Linked DNA regions of Caenorhabditis elegans. The protein of the gene in region 1 interacts with the protein of each later gene in a biochemical or structural test. Each region holds a gene or a part of one and is shown on either strand. Other genes may lie near its edges.

Region 1 (2,903 bases):
AATCTGCTTACTTATTATCATAAACCTCTATAACATCGTTAATAAAGAGAACCAACTCGTTTTTCAGTATATTCACAACGAAATCTTCATTTTCAGAAAGTGGATTTTCGTCGTCTCCCGAAGTGAACATCAAACTCGTCACAACACTTCGAATCGATGGTTCAAGCTCATTTGAGTCATCTACTGAAAAAATAAATTCCGTGTGAATATTGTAACAAATCCGAAACTTTTTTGGAAACACACATTTGAAAATGTATTTTTCAGTATATTTTTTGAAAAAAAAAATTAATTTTTAACTTCGATAATTGTCGAATTGCCGCCAACCCGTGTAAAAATGCTCACATTTTATCTCCTGATCCAATGTTGGGCGAGCTTTTTCTGTGGTCTGTACCTTCTTTTTCACAGCCCTTTTCGGAGGCATCTGGAAATCACCATAGAATAGAAAATATTGTTTTTATTCCAAGTAAACTTTCGAACGACAACTTTCGTAATAAAAAACTTAGAAACACTCTTCAGGATCGTAGAAAATATTTTATTTGGAGGGAGAAAAATCGCAAAATTAAAGTCAAAAACAAAACAAGAACCGTAGTCCAAGACCACACGACAAGGGGGAAAACTTGGAAGTATGAGAAATATTTCAGAAACAGATTAATTTGAAATGGGGCATAGTCGCAAAGCGGAAAACGACTACACTGGAACAAATGGTGTTTTTCGAAGTGCAAATATGGCCATTGATGATTATAGAGGAGAATCAAATCGATGCTTAGCAGAAATATTGAGCAGTTTACATGAACTGATCTGCCCACTCGTTCAAACAATTGAACGCCGTCTTCGCGTGATTTGCAGTCACTCCAGCCGTCTCTTTCAGCCATTCGATAAACAAATCCTCGTCTTTCTTCAGAAGGAGATACTGTCCGAACAGTACGTAGGCCTGAAATTCAAATTTTAACATTGATCGAAAATTTGAGAAAAAAAAATCTACATACTTTATCGAAGCCTGCATCGGTGAGCTTGGTGCCATATGTTGGCCCGATCCCGGCGATGCATGTGACTTCTTTGTCGCCCATTGGCTCTCCGACGAACTCACGATGCTTAACAGAAGTCGACATGGTTTCTGAAACACAAAATAATTACATTCTTGAATTTGAAAATATTTTCGAAAATCGTAGTAAAAAGATAGTTGCGAAATAAAATAAAACTGGCAAGAATAGATAGGAAAATAGACAACGCTCCCTTTTAAACGAAACGCTTGGCGGCCACAGTTCAGCGGAGCGCGTTTGCATTCTGTCTGCGTCTCTCGATTTGCGCACTCTTTCACGAATACTTCTTTTTGACTGTAATTTTTTGGCATCTGCCTCTCCTCTAAAATAATCGATTCATTCGTATGTCGCTGACATTTATTATTCCCAAGAACTAAAAAGACGGGAAATTTAATCGATAATCTTTTCATATAAAATATTTTTTTCTTAACTTGTATAGAAATGTTGTGAAAATATTGGAAAACAAAATGAGCAATTATTGGTGATGACGTTTTCTGTATTCGAGAATCGCTGGATCTGGTGGTGATGCAAGGGCTGAGAATTTCGGTTGGGCAATTCTATGGCGGCAAGCGAATCTTCCGACTTCATCTGCAAGATTTTGTGGGCTATCTTCCTGCAAGACAATTTATATAAATTATTAATTGAGTATAACATTTACCTGAACACAATGTCCAACTTTTGGTAACACACAAGTCTGAAACTTTCCCTGCATTTGACCAATTGTGAGATCCCTGTCCAGCCGATCAACGCCCGCTAGAACAAGCATCTTCGGAACGGAACATCCCAAAAATTCTTTGGATAATCCTTCAAACCATCCTTTCCAGTACTGTTCTGTTGTTGTTAAATCAATTCGCCAAGTGTACTCGTGTTCCGATACTTCTCTAATTTGAGACGGCATTGAGACCCGTGCAGCTGTGGGATTCCTCGCTGTACCCGAAGAAAGGCACCAGTGAATGGCTTTTTCGATAGAAGGAAATGAAGAAGGCCTTGAATGTAAAAAATGAACCATTCCTCCAAGTGCTTCCATAGCGGAACCTTCGACAACATCAATGACAATGAGTGCAGCGACTTTTGAAGAAATCATCTTTGCATTCAATGTATGAATGGCCAATGCACCACCCATACTGTGTCCAACAATGCATACTGGTGAATCGTCTTCGCCGAAAATGTTCTTGAAGATTGCTCCAATATCTCTACAATATGTCGATAGAAGTTACAAAACTTATCAAAGCGAAACCTCACTTTATTTGGGTTTCTTTCGAAAGATCGTGCTCATCAGAACATTTAGTGTCGCCGTGTCCTCTTAAATCAGGTGCAACAACTCTGCATGATATTAAAGTTGCCAATTCTTTCTGAACAGAACCATTAATGACTGACACTAGAATAGAACAAAACATACCGCAAAACACGCCCATGTGAGGCCTGAATAACCTCCACCGTGAAGCAAATAGAAAATTGGACCTTCATTTCCCTTTATGTACACATTGAAAACATCTCCATCAATGTTTGCGTCCTTCTTTTCATCAAAAAAATCTGACCACGGTAGTTCAGACATTTCTCGTTTCTTTCCAGAAGTTGATGTGCTCGGAACTGGTGGTGGCCTTCCATGAGTGACCGCTTGACGAAGAAGATCATTTTGCTGAAATTGATATTTAATAAAACATCATCTTGTTAATTTTCACTATTAATGTACCCTGTGAGGAGTTGTGACATGTGACGTTTCCGATTGAAGATCCGGAAGAGTGTCTAATTTATCGTCGGACATGGTGATCTGTAAATTAATATATTTAAATATTTAAGACAATTAAATAGAAAGCTATATTTATTAAAATTGAGCCAAAAAAATAAAATTATTAAAAATCT
Region 2 (5,409 bases), on another chromosome or scaffold:
TGGAAAAAAAAGCGGCTTTGATGTATTTTTCCATAATTTGTAGTTGAAACCTGAAAATTTAGCTGAAATTATCTATTTTTCACTGTAAATTTCTGGAAAATCGTCTCTAAAAATCCTATTTCTCCACTAAAATCGCTCATTTCTCTGGAAAAAATGCGGCTTTGATGTAGTTTTTCCATTAAAGTTCTCAAATTTCAGCTAAATGTAGTGAATTTGTGGTTGAAACCTGAAAATTTTTAGTTGAAATTAGCTATTTCTCCCTGTCAATTTCTTAAAAATCGGCTAAAAATTCAATTTTCCCACTAAAATAGCTCATTTCTCTGGAAATAATGCGGTTTTGATCTAGTTTTTCCATTAAATTGCGCAAATTTCAACTGATTTTGCCAATTTTGATGCTAAAAATTGAAAATTTACATGTGAAAGTTTGAAAATTCGGCCACAAAACCCCGGTTTTCCTCCAATTTTTTGAAAATTCCGACTAAAATCGCTTATTTTTACTAACTTTCAAGTAATTTTCATCAATTTAATTATTAAAAACTTGAAAATTAGCTATTTCAACCTGAAAAATTCTGAAAAGTACAACTTTTTGGTGATAAAATGTGGCGGTTTTCAATTTTTAGATGGAAATTCTGAAAATTCTATCATTTTTCAGCATGGACCTGAACGACGAACGCTACGAAGCATTTTATGAGGGTGACGAGACTGACGAAGACGCCGATTAATACTGTTTTTCGCCTTTTTTTTGTTTTTTCAGTGTTCAAGCTTACTTATCAGTAACTCACACACACACATATTTTCAATTTTTCATTCATTTTCATTCATTCATTCACAACTCTGAAATTCGTATCATGAAGACCTTATTTGTGCTATTTCTCGCCTTTTTTCTGCTTGTTGAAGCTTCTTCGGAAAGCGGAAAACGCGACGTTTTTCACAATATTGAGAACTTTTTCAAGTTCCTTTGCGTCGTTTTTCAAGTTTCTCAGGCGTCGGTACAACGTGAGAAATCGAGAAATACCTCGGAAAGCACAAAGAAATTTCAGAAAACGACCGAAATCACGAGAAATCGAATCTTCCAGGCTGATTCATAGCATTGCAAAGCTGAATTACTTGGCTTTCAGCTCATCGGGCAACTGCACTGAGCTTAAATAATTTTTTTTGTTGTAATTTTTAAAAATTTTTCATTCAATAAAAGGTTTTTACTCAATTTTACTGAGCAAAATTTATCGATTTTTTTAAAAATTTGATGAATTTACCCTGAATATTCAAGGAAAAACCTGAAAAATCGAGACTCGCAGAGGATTTCCTCCGCGGAAATTCCGAATATCAGAATTTATTTTCGAGAGACACCACGAACTTGCGACACCACGAAGTTTTTGAAGAAACAGAATCCGCAGGCAAAGTTTTTTGTTTTAGCACATTTTAGGTTTATTTTGGTTTTATTAAAAATTAAAATAACAATTTCTTTTTTAAAAGTTTAGTTTTTTAGAAGTAAATCTTAATTTCCGGTGAGATATTCTGTAGTTTTTGCGTCCATGGTGGTGTTCATCCCGCACCGCCTCCTCGCAAGCGCGCTCCACTGACATTTCCCGCCGCATTTGGTTCAAATTTCACAACCTTCGAAAATTGACGATTTCCTTCGTTTTTCTTCATTTTTTCGCGTTCTTATAAGATTTTTTAATTATTTTTTACTTTCAGAGAATGGTCGACGTTGAGAAAATGTCGGATGCAGAGCTCCGCGCCGAGTTGAACGTTCGCGGGGCGAATGTTGGCCCGGTAACTGGAACGACTCGTTCGCTGTACGAGAAGAAGCTGAAGAAGTTGCTTTCCGGTGGAGCAAAGGTATTTTAAAAGGATTTAGAATACTTTAGATTTTTTTTTTATAATTAAATTTTCAGACTCCTGCTCGTCCTACCGTCGCCAAACCAGCACCAAAACCAACTCCAAAATCCGCTCCAGCTCCAAAATCCCCAAAATCGCCGCCGGCCAGACGCTCAATTCCACGTGCTGCCGCGACCGCCGCCAATAGCACGATAAATTCCACGTTTAATCGATCGGAAATCGAGGAAATGAGCGATTCGGACGATGATATGCGAGACGACGACGATGACGATGAGGAGATTCTCTCGCCGAAATCCAAGCAATCTTCGTTCAGAAGCGCCAACTCAACGGCGAGCAGTGTTGGACGCGGCCGCCCGGTTTCTTCGACGCCTAACAAGAGACTTTCTCCAGTTTACAAGCCATCTCCAGTCCCAAAGAATACTCCAAGAACTACTTCATCATCAAGCAAAACCACTATCAACACAACTACTACTCGCATTCCATCAACTCCCCGGAGGATTACCTCAGTGCCCGGGTTGATCACAGACTTCACGCCAAGCTTCTCCACATTCGGAAGCGATCGCCCCGGCGCTACACCGCCAAGAAAATCGATTTACACGTCGAAAGTGTCCAAAGTTCTTCACGACTTGGGAAACACTACCGGAGAAGAGGATGATGATGACGAGTTTGAAGGTCAAGAGACGAGTAGAATCATCTACAAGACAGAAGAACCCTCGCGGCGGGGCATTGTGAAGAACGCGTGGAACAAGGTGCTCGGCTATGGTTTCGATGCGTCCAAGAATCCAGGAGACAGCTATGATCTTCGCGCCGGTGCCTCCAGAATCCGTGTGCAGAAGAATCCGAGAACCGGGAAGGTGACTGTGAAGCAGACGAATATTTTCAACGAGGCGATTTATTTCGCGCTCTATGTGATTTTAATTTTGTTCGTCGTGCTTGGAATCGCCTACGCGCTGACAACAACGCATCGCCCGAAAACTGCGGATTTCTCGGGTTATTGGGGAGTTTTGAAGGCGGCCGGCCGAGATTCGCTCAATTTCTTCTACAATTACGCGATTCTTCCAGTCGTTTCACTGGGGATTTGTAAGTTTTGCAGTTCACCACTGCAACTTTTTCCTCACGAGGGACGAGGAAAAGTGGTTTCTAGGCCAAGGCCGAGGGGCCGACAAGTTTCAGCGGCCATTTATCTTGCTTTGCTTTCCGCCTGTTTTCCTTCGTTTTTCACAGTTTTTTCCCGTTTTTTCTTATTAAAACTGATGAATAAATATTTTTTGCAGATGCTAAAATAATTTCCAGATGAAAAAATATGTATTCAGTCGGCAAGTAGTGGTGAAAGTTGTCAATGTAATATGATGGATTACGGGAATACAAAACCTAAACTTTTTCTGAAACATGATACATATGATGCTTAGATGCTGAAATTACCTGATTTTCATAACGAGACCGCTGAAAAAGTTTTGAGGTTTTCAAAATTCAACTTTTTGTGCGAAAATCTCGACTTTTTCACCAAAAAAGTTGAATTTTGGAAACCTCAAAACTTTTTCAGCGGTCTCGTTATGAAAATCAGGTAGTCTCAGCATTTAAGCAGCATATGTATCATGTTTCAGAAAAAGTTTAGGTTTTGTATTCCCGTAATCCATCATTTTACATTGCCCACGTTCACCGCTGCTTGCCCACTGAATACATGATTTTTTTTACTTGGAAATTGTTTTAGCATCTGCAAAAAATATTTATTTATCAGTCTTGATAAGAAAAAACGGGAAAAATCGGTGAAAAACAAAAGAAAACAGGCGGAAAACAAAGCAACATAAATAACCGCTGAAACTTGTCGGCCCCTCGACCATGGCCTAGAAACCACTTTTCCTCGTCCCTCGTGAGGAAAAAGTTGCAGTGTCGGTATTGCAATTTTCTAAGAAAAATAATTTCAGTCGTCGTTCTCGGAGCCGGAATCTACTTTGGACACCGCAAATACAAGGAGGCCAAGGAGCAGGAAGAGGCGAAGCTCTACGAGCTCATCGAGCGCATCACCGAGCTCATCCGCGAGTCCTCAATTGACGGCGATCCGTACGTCTCTCAGCCACACGTCCGCGATGTCCTCTTCCCGCCGGCAAAGAGACGCTCGGCTGAGCTGGCTCGCTGGGAGCAAGCGGTCAAGTTCATCGACACCAATGAGTCTCGCGTCGCTACCGATGTTCTTGTGCTTCCGTCTGGAAATGAGTGTGCCGTGTGGAAGTGGATCGGAAATCAGTCTCAGAAGAGATGGTAGATCATTGTTTTGCTGTATAATTTTTCGATTTTTTAACTCAATTTTTCATTAAAGGTGGAGTAGCGCTAGTGGGGAAATTTCTTTAAAACATGCCTAAGGTATCACAATGACCGAATATCATGATTAAAAAATTATAAAATTAAAAAATGTTTTCTAAATTTTAGGTATATGATTTCTTTTGAAAATTGAAAAAATCTCAGTTTTTACCTACTTCCTATTTGAATTACCACCAATTGGATTTGTTCGATGGAGCGCGCTTGCACGTTTTTAAATTTATTTATTTTATTTTTTGTTATTTTCCACCGATTTTTAATGTTTTCGATGGATTTTTGCTCGAGTTTTAGAGAAAAAGTCAAAATAAATGCAAACAGGCGTAAATCAGTTAAATTAATTAATTCAGGTTCGAAATCGTTTAAAAGCGTTACTTTTTCATTTTAACGCCTGTCATCAGCGTGCCTTTTAATCGAAAATTTGCATTTATTTTAACTTTTTTTTTTCTAAAATTCGAGCAAAAATACACCGAAAATAATAAAAATCGGTGAAAAATAACAAAATATGAAATAAATGAATTTAAAAACGTGCAACAATCGCGCTCCATCGAACAAATTCAATTGGCGGAAATTCAAATAGGAATTAGGCAAAAACTGAGATTTTTCCAATTTTCAAAAAAAATCATATAAAATTTAGAAAATTTTTTTGAATTTTTAAATCATGATATTCGGTCATTGTGGTACAATAGGCATGTTTTAAAGCAATTTCCCCACTAGCGCTACTCCACCTTTAATCCCCCCCCCCCCCCCCCCCAAAAAATTCGAATACTGATGAAATCTGTCCTATTTATTTATTTTATCTTTTATTTTTTTTTTTGTATTTTTCACCGCATTTCTTGCAAAGTTCACAACAATAAACTCATTCACCGAAGGCTCCCTGTAGGCAAAAAAGGGCCTTTAAAGGTAAAAACCGCCTTATATATCTCAAAAAAAAGACCTTCCGCCTAACCGTCTGCGCTCTCTCTCTTCCATGAGATATCTCTCGCGTCGTCTTCAATTTTTCCTCCGCGCGTATTTCCATTAGAAAACGCGATTTTTACAGTTTTTCGTTGAAAAAATGCAAAAAATTGATCGGATTTTCAAATTCACCCATGAAATTTGAATTTTCTAATTGAAAATGTTGAATTTTCACGACGATTTTCCAGCTAAAAATGCACATTTTTAACGTTTTTCTCAGCAAATTTTTAATTTTCCCAATTTTTATCGGCATTTCGCCATATTTCAACACAAAATTGCGCAATTTAATCACATTTTTAG
Region 3 (4,968 bases), on another chromosome or scaffold:
GGCCGTCGTGGATAGCTACCCCCAACCGGACGCATGTGCGTCCGGTTCGGACGACCGGACGTCCGGTTGTACAGCCCTAATTTTATATACTCAATTGTTAATCTGCATATTACCAAGAGACATGTTTTGCCCAAGTTCCTCTCACATTTAATCGATTCTCTTGTTTTTTCATTTCAATCTTTTTAGGGATCAAATGTGTTTTAGAGATGCAGGTGTCTAGAGAAAATTGTTTTCCTACTCTTTCATTTCGTATTCTTTTCATTTCACCAAACTTCTCTCTCGCGGCTAATCTCGCCTTCATAATAGAAATTTAGCTTCTAATTTTCGTGCTATACTAATATTCTACCACATGGTCACATCAAATGAGATAAAAACTGTCAACGCGCCAAAATGACACTCTCCCATTGATTTATTGCCCTTTGTCTCTGTGCGTCGACGCTCTAGTGCTCTTTCCAGATGTTGTTTCCTTCTCTTCTCAGCCTCCTTCTCTAGAATTCATTCATTCTGTGTCAAACACCAAAGAAGAACGACATTGTCTTCTCTCACACAAGACTGCTTATGATTTCTCGCTTCCTTCATCTGGCTCTGAATATGTCTTTCAATGGTACATGTTTATTGTTAATCGCCGAGTTTCAAAATTTACACTATCCATATAAAAAAGCGGCAAAACCTCAAAATTTCAGATGTTTGACCACTTCTCTAATACTCTCATCATGCCTCTCCATTATTCGTTCTATTTAACCCTGTACTGGCATGTTGCCAAGTTGTGTATATGTATGTTGTTTACCATATGCACACGTCTTTCCTGCTTCTCTACTTCTCTAGTCATTGGGACCGTGAGCATAAAAAACGAAAGAAAAACTTGAAAATAGTGCGCGAAACGGGAGAGATCAGAGATGAAGGGGTACGCAGCGCTCACTCGCGCGACTAAAGAGAGAGCATTGGCCTGGGCCATTGCCCTTCGAAACAAGATCGAGCGTTTTTCATCGTTTTTGAACCCTCGAAACTCCTACATATCACCTCTCATGCAACTTTTTTACACTAATTTGTGTAATTTGATATCCTATCTTATAGTTTATCAGGTCATTTCTCTTTTGTAGTAGTCCGAAAGTTTTGATTGATCGAATTTCGAAATTCTCCCTAAATTTTCGAAATTTTGTTACTTTCAAATTGACGCGACATGGACGGTCAATCAAAACCAAACAAGTATGCGAGAAATTCCCTTTTCTCTCTTTTTCTCTAATCATTTCAGTCCCATCTGCCTAGTTCTATCGGCAATTTGTGGAAGTGCGCAGATGATTTTTGAAGGCGAGGTGATAACGCCCTGCTAAAGCATTCTTATTCACGAGAGTTTCAAAAAACTATTGAAACGAGGTAAATCTTAGTTGAGTATACCTTGACAATTGTAGTTCTTTGCCGAGTTGCCTAATGTTTGAATTCAACGCTACTTACTGACTATGTTTATGCTTTTGTTTACGTCACTCTCACAAATGTTCCTTATTTCTCTACTATATTTCTTTCTGTTGAAACATTTAAAAAACGAAACAACACACATCTATGTGGAATACTGCCATCTGCCGATTTTGAGGTCACTTGGCGCGCCGTAACTCGCAAATAACCTAACAGCGCCAGATTTTTCGACAAACACACGCTTTCCGAAGTGGTATACACAACGGCCGTGTCCGCATGTTTGCCACACTTCTTTTGAGACAGAAAACTTTTGTTGTATAAAAATTTTATCACAAGAAATATCAAAATGTTGAGTCACGTTCGTGTGGCGCCTATGACGTTTCCTCTCTTCTCTTACATCTCTCTTTGTCTATTTCTGAAACTAAATCCAATATAATTAACTCTTCAGAAAGCAGCGAGAAAAATGTCATCTCGTAAAGGTACTCGTAGTTCTCGTATTGTTACGCTAGAGCGCTCAGCGAATTCGTCGCTAAGCAACAATGGAGGAGGCGACGATTCATTGTGAGTTTTTATTTTGCTTCTCTAGTTCCTGCACTCATAAACGCATTTCTTGTGTTATCTAAAAAAAAACTCGATGAAATGCTTTTCAGTGGCTCAACGCTTCTAGAAACTTCACGTCTTCAAGAGAAAGATCATTTGACTTCACTCAACAGTCGTCTTGCCACTTACATCGACGTGAGTTTTAATTTGGAAAGTATTCATATTTGAAAGTACACTTTTCAGAAAGTTCGTCAATTGGAGCAAGAGAACAACAGACTCCAGGTTCAAATTCGCGACATCGAAGTTGTTGAAAAGAAAGAGAAGTCAAACTTGGCCGATCGCTTCGAGGCGGAAAAGGTACACTTTGTTTATATTCTGATCGCCAAAGGTGTTCTGTGGGAAACTGATGCGGTGGTCTTATTATTCTCGCCGCGGTAAAGTAACAATGCAAATATAAGCTCTCGTTTTGGACGAATGATAAGTGTTGGAATATAGATTATTTGTATTTTCAGGCTCGTCTCCGTCGTGCCCTCGATTCGGCTCAAGATGAGCTCGCAAAATACAGGATCGAGTATGACGCTGCAAAGGTTGAAGTAAAGAAGTTGAAGCCACAAGTCGAAAAACTTGAGAGAGAACTCGCTGGAGCTGAGGAACAAGCCCTCCATGCCCAATCTATTGCTGATCAAAGTCAAGCAAAACAGAAGACGTTGCAGGCACGCAACGATAAATTGGTGGTGGAGAATGATGTAAGAAATTTTAATTTTATCAAAAGTAAATGTTCAATTTTGTTGTTTTCAGGATCTCAAAAAGCAGAACATCACTCTTCGTGACACCGTAGAAGGACTCAAGAAAGCCGTTGAAGATGAAACTCTTCTCCGAACAGCCGCCAACAATAAAATCAAGGCTCTGGAAGAAGATCTCGCTTTTGCTCTTCAACAGCACAAGGGAGAACTTGAAGAAGTTCGTCACAAGAGACAGGTCGACATGACAACCTACGCCAAGCAGATTAATGATGAGTATCAATCTAAGCTTCAAGATCAAATCGAAGAGATGCGTGCTCAGTTCAAGAACAATTTGCATCAAAACAAAACAGCTTTCGAAGATGCCTACAAAAACAAGCTCAATGCTGCTCGTGAACGCCAAGAGGAGGCTGTATCCGAAGCAATCCATCTTCGTGCCCGTGTTCGTGACTTGGAGACATCAAGCAGTGGAAATGCTTCGCTCATCGAACGTCTTCGTTCAGAGCTCGACACTCTGAAGAGATCGTTCCAAGAGAAGCTCGACGACAAGGATGCTCGAATTGCTGAACTTAATCAAGAGATCGAGCGCATGATGAGCGAGTTCCACGATCTTCTTGATGTTAAAATCCAATTGGACGCCGAACTCAAGACCTACCAAGCTCTCCTTGAGGGTGAGGAGGAGCGTCTCAATCTTACTCAGGAGGCGCCACAAAACACTTCAGTTCATCACGTCTCGTTTTCATCCGGAGGAGCAAGCGCTCAGCGCGGAGTGAAGCGTCGTCGCGTTGTCGATGTAAATGGAGAGGACCAAGACATTGATTATCTCAACCGTCGCTCCAAACTCAACAAAGAGACTGTTGGCCCAGTTGGAATCGACGAGGTTGATGAGGAAGGAAAGTGGGTCCGTGTTGCAAACAACTCTGAAGAAGAACAATCCATCGGAGGATACAAGTTGGTGGTCAAAGCTGGAAACAAAGAAGCCTCCTTCCAATTTTCATCTCGTATGAAGCTCGCTCCACATGCTAGCGCCACCGTTTGGTCTGCGGATGCTGGTGCCGTTCACCACCCACCAGAAGTCTACGTTATGAAGAAGCAACAGGTTGGTCAATTATTTTAAAATATTTCTGTCTTACTTTCATGAATAGAAGAAACAAAAAATGTTCATTGTAATTACAATTTTCAGTGGCCAATTGGAGATAACCCATCAGCTCGTCTTGAGGATAGTGAAGGAGACACTGTTTCTTCTATCACCGTTGAATTCAGCGAATCATCGGATCCATCGGACCCAGCCGATCGTTGTTCCATCATGTAATTGAGAGTCGATATTACATCAATCCATTTGGACCTCATTTTTACATCTATCTCTTCCTAATATTCCTTCTTGTTGTGTTGTCCTCGAGAGTTACACTGATCCTCTTCTTTTTCTCTGTCCCTCCTACGTTTTAACCGTGTTCTTGTTGTTAATATACTAGAATATGGCAATAATTTTGTTTTAAGGAAATCTCGAAATTTCACTGCCCTCTTTCCAAGAACACACCTTTCCCTAAGACTAGATCCAATTTCCATTTTTTTGAATTCATTGAGCTCACCGTCAAAATGTAAAATAGCTCGTTTTTAACCATTTGCAACAAAAGCATCAATCAAACTCCCTGTCTTCCAATGATGTTTCTTCCAACTTACCGATCGGTGTCGCTCATTAAAATTTCAAAGTGTATTTCGTTTATTTAACTTCAAAAACATGAAATATTTCTTTTCTTTCTTTACAACTCGTCTATCGTCTATTTTTTTAGGTTTATTCCATACATTTCTAAGATGGTTATGACATATAATTAGGATATGCAAGTACCGATTAAGCCAACTGTTTTTCTTTTCGAATCTATTCACTATTGAGCTCAAATGAGCACATGACAGTCGGTTAAGTGAGGTCATTGCATCACACAATAATAGAGGAGAACGTATTGAATACGGTAATTGGTTCGAATTTCTTGACAAAAATAAGCCCGTTTAGTTCAAAAACTGTAAATCTAAACAAGCCTCGATTCGAAAACTCGTAAAATCTCAGAATTAATACGCCTTTTTCACACCCCTTTTGTCAAAGCGGCTGTGGAAAAGTCAAACATTTGCGATTAGTTTGCTGGCGTTGTCCAATTGTCGAAATGTAAAATGAGATGGACATTTTTATGGGAAATCATCAAAGAGAATTGTTACGGTATCTCATTCCGACATACAGTAAAACTGATAAATGAGAAATAAACTGAGGTTACTGATCGAATAGTAG

The links. The genes of interacting proteins can lie anywhere in the genome.
Region 2: the proteins of baf-1 (region 1) and lem-2 interact in far-western blotting, tested with the Caenorhabditis elegans proteins (one study listed by BioGRID).
Region 3: the proteins of baf-1 (region 1) and lmn-1 form a complex in vitro, tested with the Caenorhabditis elegans proteins (one study listed by BioGRID).

What each region holds. Positions count from the first base shown.
Region 1 is NC_003281.10:9,465,675-9,468,577, reverse strand, and holds baf-1 (Barrier-to-autointegration factor 1), read right to left. Parts: upstream 1,115-2,903; 5' UTR 1,110-1,114; coding exon 987-1,109; intron 932-986; coding exon 785-931; 3' UTR 520-784; downstream 1-519. Other genes in the region: tag-342 (transcription initiation factor TFIID subunit 13 family protein), read right to left, coding at 12-183, 343-421; B0464.9 (putative protein phosphatase methylesterase 1), read right to left, coding at 1,516-1,653, 1,699-2,233, 2,283-2,392, 2,440-2,679, 2,734-2,805. UniProt on the Caenorhabditis elegans protein: DNA-binding protein which plays an essential role in nuclear envelope formation. Required for normal chromosome segregation during mitosis. Associates with the nuclear lamina via its interaction with LEM domain containing proteins emr-1 and lem-2.
Region 2 is NC_003280.10:14,061,757-14,067,165, forward strand, and holds lem-2 (LEM protein 2), read left to right. Parts: upstream 1-1,693; 5' UTR 1,694-1,698; coding exon 1,699-1,839; intron 1,840-1,895; coding exon 1,896-2,919; intron 2,920-3,764; coding exon 3,765-4,102; 3' UTR 4,103-4,890; downstream 4,891-5,409. Other genes in the region: W01G7.4 (putative RNA polymerase II nuclear localization protein SLC7A6OS), read left to right, coding at 653-722. UniProt on the Caenorhabditis elegans protein: Nuclear lamina-associated inner nuclear membrane protein that is involved in cell division, nuclear structure organization, maintenance of nuclear envelope integrity and nuclear envelope reformation after mitosis.
Region 3 is NC_003279.8:8,761,183-8,766,150, forward strand, and holds lmn-1 (Lamin-1), read left to right. Parts: upstream 1-1,858; 5' UTR 1,859-1,873; coding exon 1,874-1,971; intron 1,972-2,060; coding exon 2,061-2,145; intron 2,146-2,193; coding exon 2,194-2,307; intron 2,308-2,462; coding exon 2,463-2,696; intron 2,697-2,748; coding exon 2,749-3,789; intron 3,790-3,873; coding exon 3,874-4,002; 3' UTR 4,003-4,449; downstream 4,450-4,968. UniProt on the Caenorhabditis elegans protein: Major component of the nuclear lamina, a fibrous layer on the nucleoplasmic side of the inner nuclear membrane. Provides a framework for the nuclear envelope and probably also interacts with chromatin.